2 linked regions of the Danio rerio genome follow. The main gene of each other region encodes a partner of the protein of the gene in region 2 in a complex. Links are inferred from orthologs where the notes say so. Each region holds a gene or a part of one and is shown on either strand. Other genes may lie near its edges. The genes, in order: abcc8 and kcnj11.

What was found.
Region 1: the proteins of kcnj11 (region 2) and abcc8 are in contact, whole or in part, in a cryo-EM structure (PDB 7S60), measured with the Homo sapiens proteins. The link is inferred for Danio rerio from reciprocal best matches to the Homo sapiens genes KCNJ11 and ABCC8. Residues at the interface, in NP_000516.3 of Homo sapiens: Val44, Ala45, His46, Lys47, Asn48, Ile49, Arg50, Gln52, Gly53, Leu56, Val59, Thr62, Leu63, Lys67, His70, Leu73, Ile74, Met77, Cys81, Leu84, Leu85, Met88, Trp91, Leu92, Phe95, Ala96, His97, Gly98, Leu100, Ala101; in NP_000343.2 of Homo sapiens: Phe5, Ser12, Ala13, Tyr15, Arg16, Val17, Val21, Asn24, Cys26, Phe27, Ala30, Val33, Val34, Val37, Phe41, Phe44, Ile46, Phe48, Ile49, Gly50, Trp51, Gly52, Ser53, Ser55, Lys57, Val58, His59, Ile60, His61, His62.

Annotation. Positions count from the first base shown.
Region 1 is NC_133200.1:23,925,593-23,929,951, reverse strand, and holds the start of abcc8 (ATP-binding cassette sub-family C member 8), read right to left. Parts: upstream 2,868-4,359; 5' UTR 2,314-2,867; coding exon 2,290-2,313; intron 1-2,289. UniProt on the Homo sapiens protein: Regulator subunit of pancreatic ATP-sensitive potassium channel (KATP), playing a major role in the regulation of insulin release.
Region 2 is NC_133200.1:24,059,402-24,062,813, reverse strand, and holds kcnj11 (ATP-sensitive inward rectifier potassium channel 11), read right to left. Parts: upstream 1,660-3,412; coding exon 514-1,659; downstream 1-513. UniProt on the Homo sapiens protein: Inward rectifier potassium channel that forms the pore of ATP-sensitive potassium channels (KATP), regulating potassium permeability as a function of cytoplasmic ATP and ADP concentrations in many different cells.

The sequences.
Region 1 (4,359 bases), about 130 kb from region 2:
GCTGCAAAATCACACATGAGCTGACCCACTGTTTGTTTACTACTGAGAGGATGCGTGCATGCCCACCGATGATGTCTGCTTTAGTGAACAGAACCTGCATAGGCTGTGAATGACAGTTAACAAATTTGTAAATAATGTTTTGTTTTTTCGCACAGAATGATCTGGAAGTATGATTTTCAAGTACATTTTCATGACATGAGCCGCACTCGGCAGTGAAAGTGAAACCAAAACCGCGCACATCATATAAATGATCATATTGCATTTTAAAGTCATGATTATGACAAGCATTTTATATGTTTTATCTTTCATAGCGAACACAAAGTGTAGTGAATGAAATTAATTGTTTAACAGTATCGGTTTAACTACTCTAGCCTACAGTATACAATGTTGAATATAATGCAAGAGGGAATCTGATAATGACAAATGTCTAATTTTATCAGTGAAAAAAATGTCTGATAATTTTCTCAATGACAAATGACAAACATATGTCTCAAACATAATGATTAAACATCAGCATTATGAATAAATATATTCTGATGTAATCACTTTACTGTGAATTAACAACCAGGACGTATTTAAAGTCATTCGAAGTCTATACAAAATGTAGCATTTTACCAACAGTAGACCTACACCTAGGACTAATATTATTATTGTTGTTTTACCATATAATAGCCTACTATATGAACCTTTGTTTTACATTTACAGAATTATGAGAAAATTGTGATGTTGATTTTAAGCAAAAAAAAAATCGCATTTTGGCCAGAATCGTGCAGCCCTACTCCATAAACTACTGTACATGTCTATAGACCATTACAATACAAGTACAGGCTTTTCTTAAACACTCAAGGCTTTGTTAAAATAAATCTCAATTAAAAGTAGCTGTTTGACAAATTACACCTTTCAGTGTGTAGACAGCCTACGTGATCCATACAGATATTAGATACTACAGTGTTTAGGGTCTGCGACTTATCATTACAATCCAATGTAAAAAAAACCCATACAAATACTCTGATATCCTAATGACGGTGGTGAGAGGATAAAGTTGATCCATAAGATATTCAAGGGGAGACAGACAGATGTGGTGTGTTATGGATGTGTTATTTCAGAAAGCCAACGTGCAAATTGACTCTATCTGCTTGAAGTGCATTCCTGTCACAGTACATTTAAAAAATAAACAAGGTAAGCAACCTCATTTTTAATGTTCTCGGACCAGCAGATGCAGTGGAGCGGAAACTTAAATGCACTGCCATCATTTAATTCCCATAAAGAAGCATTTGCTGAAGATTAAATGAGTAGCATGACTCTATAATCTGCACCACTCGACAGGTCAATCAAAAGTGGGCCTTGGAGTATATTATTTCAGTCAATATATATTCAATTCCCTGTGAACCAGAAATGTCTGATTATTTAACTACAGTACTGCGATGTGTTTCCAATTGAGACAGGAGTACGAGGTTTTATTTTAGCGCTCTCCTTGCCATCTTTTGCTCTCAGCAAAGATTACCAAAGCAATGTATTCATCATCAACATCATCATGGATTAACTTGGTTTGAAATAATTTGCAGCACAAATAGTAATGTGATTTTACAAATAAGTAATGTGCCTATTGTCATCTTGTGTGTGCATTAAATTCTGTGAACGGTAGTTCACATCAAGCGTCCTTTATTTACACCAGATTAAAGCTCTTAGTCATCAGGTCATTGAGACACTCTCTGTTAGTGTGCAACATTATGAATCTTACATCATGAATTCAAGCCTTATTAAATACATATATATATATTATTTTTTTCCATTTAAATTCATTTATTTGTATTTAATGTCTCTTTGTAAAGCTATATAATTGCATATTTCCGCAAGCACTGTAAAGAAAAGTTGGCTGTAGTATATTGATTTTTGATCTTTTGAGCTTTACCCCATTTAAACACAGGATTCATTCTAAATTGAGTGCGCATGCGCAGAACATCTTTCACTTGCTTTCATTCACTGAATCCTGTCGAATCTTGTCAAAACTAAAAAGGTGTTGAAATTTAAAGCTGTAAGTAGTCCCGTGGGTTATAAAACGACATAAAGCTCACGAAATTGACATGGGAGAGGAGGTCTTTCCCGCAAGCAAGAGCAATGTTTTGGAAAAAGCTCGTAAGGTTTTCTTAACAACTTCCTCACAGAAAATCAGTTAAAAAACAAGCAGCACATATGCTATTAACGATATAACGTCGTGTAAATGCAAATTTTCAACGTAATATAACATCATAAACATTTCTAACCCAAGCCACAAAGAAACTTGCATACCGGTCTGTAGCGTGTGATCATCATCTTGAAATTCCAGTCGTAAACAAAATTGCGACTTCATATGATGGTGTTCAATCCAGTCCAGAGACCTCGTCGTTCAAAAAAAAGCGCCTAACTCACACGGGAATAGGTCAGGAATAAAAAACAGCTGAAATTTGTCCGTGCGTCTGCCATATGGTTCGAGTTTACCTCAAAGGAACTAACCAAGGTGCTGAAAAGAGCCGTCACAGAATCCGACAGTTTCAAATTCCCAAACATCGATTTGAAAGTTGGTCGAGGAATCCAGTTCATTCAGACGTCACGTACACACGCGCGATACAAGCGATCAATCACTGACTCAACACTGCTCAGTAAATCACACAAAAACGAATACCGTAATCGGTGTCACGCTGCAAATGCTTGAAGTATATGTAATGATAAATGATAACGAGCATAACCTCAAATATATGATGTCGAATAAACGTAATAAACCTTGGATTAATTAATATTCAGGCTGATATTTAAAAAAGAAGCTAATATTCTTGCTTTCCTGCAAGAATGCACCCTACTAATCATCATTCGCTCTGCGTATATGGGCCAAATTCGACAGGTGCTGAAGATAATACTAGTGCGAACTAACCAATCGGGTCGTGGGTAAAGGGTGTCGTCAGCACAACACACCGCCTCCCTATAGCTCAAAACAAAGAGACACCGCCATATCATCAGTTGCCATACATCACCACTCTAAAAAACAATGAGTTGTTCATTTAACCCAGTGGTTGAGTTAAAAAATAGTTGGTGCGTTGTTGGGTTATTTATTAATAACTCAACCAGTTGGGTTAGATATGTGGTGCTTTTGAGGTTGTTTTGTTTACCTTAATTGGGTTATTTATTTAATAACTCGACCAGTTGGGTTAAAATATTTTAATTTCAACAGTCAACTGATTTAACTGATACAGAACAGCTGTATTAACATGCATACATAAAGTTGTTTTTGCTTTATAAAGTTTATCTAAGCCATAACGCAAAAATTCATTTTCTTTTTGGCATGGTCCCTTTATTAATCAGGGGTCGCCACAGCGGAAAAAACACCAACTTATCTAGAATATGTTTTATGCAGCGGATGCCCTTCCAGAAATGCCAACTAACCCAGTGGGCACTCAAACTAGCGACTTTCTGATCGTGCTAACCATTGCGCCACCATGACACCAAATGCAATAACATTGTTGTTATCTTTGAATCAAATGACCTCTCTGTGATGTGACTTTTATATCCCTTTCACCAGCACTCTTAATTGTTAAAAATTATATTGTTAAATTTTATATGATGGATATAATTTTATAGGACCCAGTGCATTGGGTTAAAATAACCAATAGTTGCACTGTAAAAATAAAATGTTGAGGTAAAAATTTTAAAGCAACCGGCTGCAAAGAAATTTTGAGTCTATTATGCTTCAGTGGCTGCAAGTTGTGCTAAATTCTTTTAAGTTGACTGAAAAAGCTGGTTTAAGTCAAGAATACTTTACTGAAAATTTTGACCCAACTTCAACAGAAGCAAAAACTCAAATTTCTTTGCAGCCGGTGGCTTTAAAATTTTAAGTTAACTCAACTCTTTATTGTTTACTAAATGCTCAAATTAAGTAATCGAAATTGAAAGGCTCCTGAACAATGTTTTTACTTTCATTGAACAAACATGCAGTTGAGTCATTTTTATGAGTAAATTCAACTCTGATCTCAAAAATTTGATTAAGATTAAGATTTTTTACAGTGTGAGAAGGTGCTATAATAACCTATAGTTGGGTTATATGTTGGGGTATTTTTAACCCAGTTATTTTAACTGGAGTACATAAAACAGCATTTTGCAAACAAAAATAAGACATGCCATGACATTAAGTCCTTAGCCTGTCAAAAAATACAGTAGCTTTCTTTAAAGAGATAGTTCACAGCAAAAAAATAAAAAAATAAAAAAATAAATAAAATAAAAAATCTGTCATCATTTTCTCATCATTCATTTGACACAAATCTTTTTTCTTCTTTTGAACACAAAACACTTTATCTAACCTTCATCTCACAAGAACTGTTTAAGAAAAAC
Region 2 (3,412 bases):
TCATAGTGCCCCCCCCCCCCCCCCCCCCCCATGAAAATAATTATTTTAAATCATTCAGATTTTTTTTTTCAACAAAACGTTTTTAATAATTTTAAGCGTAATAAACGTTAGCATGATCACCTTCTTTTATGTATGCATTTATAGCATATGTTGCTTATAGTTTTCTTTTTACATAAATATATCTATTAGTCTGAGTGATGTTGGAAGATTCACTCATATTTGACATTTAATTTCCACATCATTTTTAAAACATGAAAATAAACATGTGTATTTAAAATGTTCTGTATGTAAAAGCACGTGTACATTGATTGTATTTGATCGCCAAAATGCGAATCAAACCTGATATAATTGATCATTTAATTTTTTATTAATTTTAAGACAATATAAATCGATCTCTGATTTACATTAAACATGTTTAATATATCAAATTGCGGAGATTTATTATTTGAAAAAAAAAATCTATATTTAAAAAAAACTTTTGTCGTGTCTCAGGAGGATAATGATAGAAGCAAGTCACATTTCTTTGGTGTTTGGGTGTTTGACTCTTCTCCTCACTGCTGCGCATGCGCCGCTGGTCTCCTGCAGTTTGAACCTCTCCATCCCTCCCGCTTCCTCGAGAGTCCGCGCACTGCTGTTCGGCGTCGCCACTTTAACCGTGTTTCCAAACTTCGAGTAGTCCACAGCATACATCCCGTCCTCCTCAGACACCGTAGGCACAAACCTATGACCCCATAAAATCTCCTCGGACAGGTAAGAGGTCCTCGCTTGAGTGGTGATGCCGGTGGTCTCCACGACCCCTTCCAGGACGACAATCACCTCGATGTCCTCATGCAGTAAATCGTCCGCGGACAGATCATACAGAGGGCTGTTTTTGTCAATGGTGTGACTGATGATGAGGGGGGACACCAGAAAGATGCTGTTGGTTCCCACCGGGTTGTCCATCTGGATGTCTATCTGGTCCAAAGGCACCATCTCGCCTTCGCTGGTGACGGTCTTTCTTACCACCTGCATGTGGACGGTGGCACTGATAATCATGCTCTTCCTCAGGTCACCAAGGCGAAACATGAAGCACAGCTTGTTGTTTCGGACAGTTATCACCGCGTGTTTGCTGAAGATGAGCGTTTCCGCTCGCCGGTTTGCTTGCGCCGTTTTCATGAAGATGCATCCTAACATGATGGCGTTTATCACAAGACCCACTATGTTCTGAAGAATAAGTATGACGATGGCCGAAACGCATTCCTCCGTGATCATCCGTCCTCCGAAGCCGATGGTCACCTGCACCTCGATGGAGAACAGAAAGGCGGAGGAGAACGAGTGGATGTCCGTTACGCACGGCACAAAGTCCTCGCCTTTCAAATCCAGGTCTCCGTGCGCGAAGGCGATCAGCCACCAGATCATCCCGAACAAAAGCCAACTGCACAGGAAGGACATGGTGAAGATCACCAGAGTATGAAGCCATTTCAGATCCACCAAAGTGGTGAACACGTCCTGTAGAAACCGTCCCTGTTCGCGAATGTTCGTGTGCGCGACGTTGCACGTTCCGTTTTTGGCGACGAATCGCGCTTTCCGCTGTTTAGTCTTGAATTTTGGCTGTAACACATCCTCCGCCAACCGAGTCAACAAATAATCCTCGGGAATGAGTCCTTTTCTGGACAACATTGCTGGTCCATGCTACTGTTTCGCTGGCGCGCTGCTAAGTTGTAACATGGCACAGCTTTTGCGCACTTTCCGCGTGTCCGTCCTGGCGCTGCGCGCGCACTCGCTCACTAGAGGTGAGGAGGTCCCGTGGGAAGGCGCCGCTTTTAGTTCACCGGCTGCCGCTGCCTGTCAATTGCAACCGGATATTTTCTCACACATCCTCAGATGTGACTGCGCTGCACAGAGCAGACACAGGGCATGCGTGCAAAACGCGAACTTTACCACAAAAAACCGCTCTGCGTCAATAATTAAAAGACATGTTCTGTACAGACCACTATACCCATGACAGTGAGGGCTGCATTACTATCTGTACTATAGTCATTGATGATTTAGCCTGCTCATTACAGCAAAAAGCGTTTGTAGATATCTCTTTCCCTACACTGTTAAAAAAAAACTAATTTTACAGAAAATATCCTTAAATTTTTTACTGTATTTTTTTTGTCATTTCACATTATATTCAAAACTTAGTAAAATAACAACCAATCTCTCTAAATTAACCGTTTGACTTTCATTTTAGGTACTTTATTATTAAAGACAAATTACTGACATTTGTGTTTTTTTATACAGGGAAATTACAGTATTATTTATACAGTATTCTGTTATTTTAAATTATTTTCAAAAGTTCGTAAAAATCACAAACATTTTCTGTAAATTAACGGCTTGACTGTTATTTTATGTACTATATAAGTAATGACAAATTACAGCAATTTGTCTGTTTTTTACAAAAACATTGACATATTATTTACAATGTTTTTTCATGTTTTTAAGTACATTTAACATTAAGTAAAATGAAAGTAATAAATTGTAATTACTTGCTCTGTAAAAAAAAAAAAAAAAAAAAAGTAAAAAAAAGGTCAAATGACTGGCAGCTGCTGCTGCCAAACAAAAACCATAAAATTAAGGTAAAATTTCTTTGTTGAAAAAAGTGCAAAAAATAATAAATCAACAGATATTTTCATTAAAAGGTTTACAGAGAAACACTGTTATTTTACAGACTTTTCCTAGATTATTATGATCAAATCCATTTAATAAAGTAACACACTAAGAGTGCTCACATACACCTGTTTCAGATTCCGCTGATTGCACACACACAGTCGGAGGATCATTATGAACTGATTACATGCACTTTAAAAGCAGCACAGACGCACGCACCAATTGCTTAGTCTTGTTATGCTGCTACTGTGAACATTATGACGCGTTTCTCTTCTTTTGCCTTGCCTTGCCTTGCTTTGCTTGTTAATTGTTTATGTTGTTTGCTGCGGGACTGACCATTTGCCTGTTATTTGATCATGACTCTGGATTCCCTGCAAAATGTTACATCTGTTACTCCTGTGTTGACTGTTGCTTGCCTTTGGATCTGCACTCATTTGTCCCCTGCACTCAGCGTCCCCTTCATGTTACAGTTCCATTTCATTTAAGATCTGTAACTGAATTATTCCATATAACTAAAACCTCTACATGTTTTACATAAACACTATTTAATAAAATGTAACAACTGTAATTTTAAAGTTGTGAGAATTTTAATCCGTTGTATCTCGTTTGTTGTTTTTTCCAAAAATTTTTGATCCAAATTAAAACTGTTAAATTACGATCATGAGCATGTCTTGGCATGTTATTAAAGGTGTTTAATCGTAATGATTCAGGGAAAAGTCTTTTAAGTAACATTGTTTTCTCTTGAACTTTTAGTGCAGTCACTTTATTGATGATGTTTGAT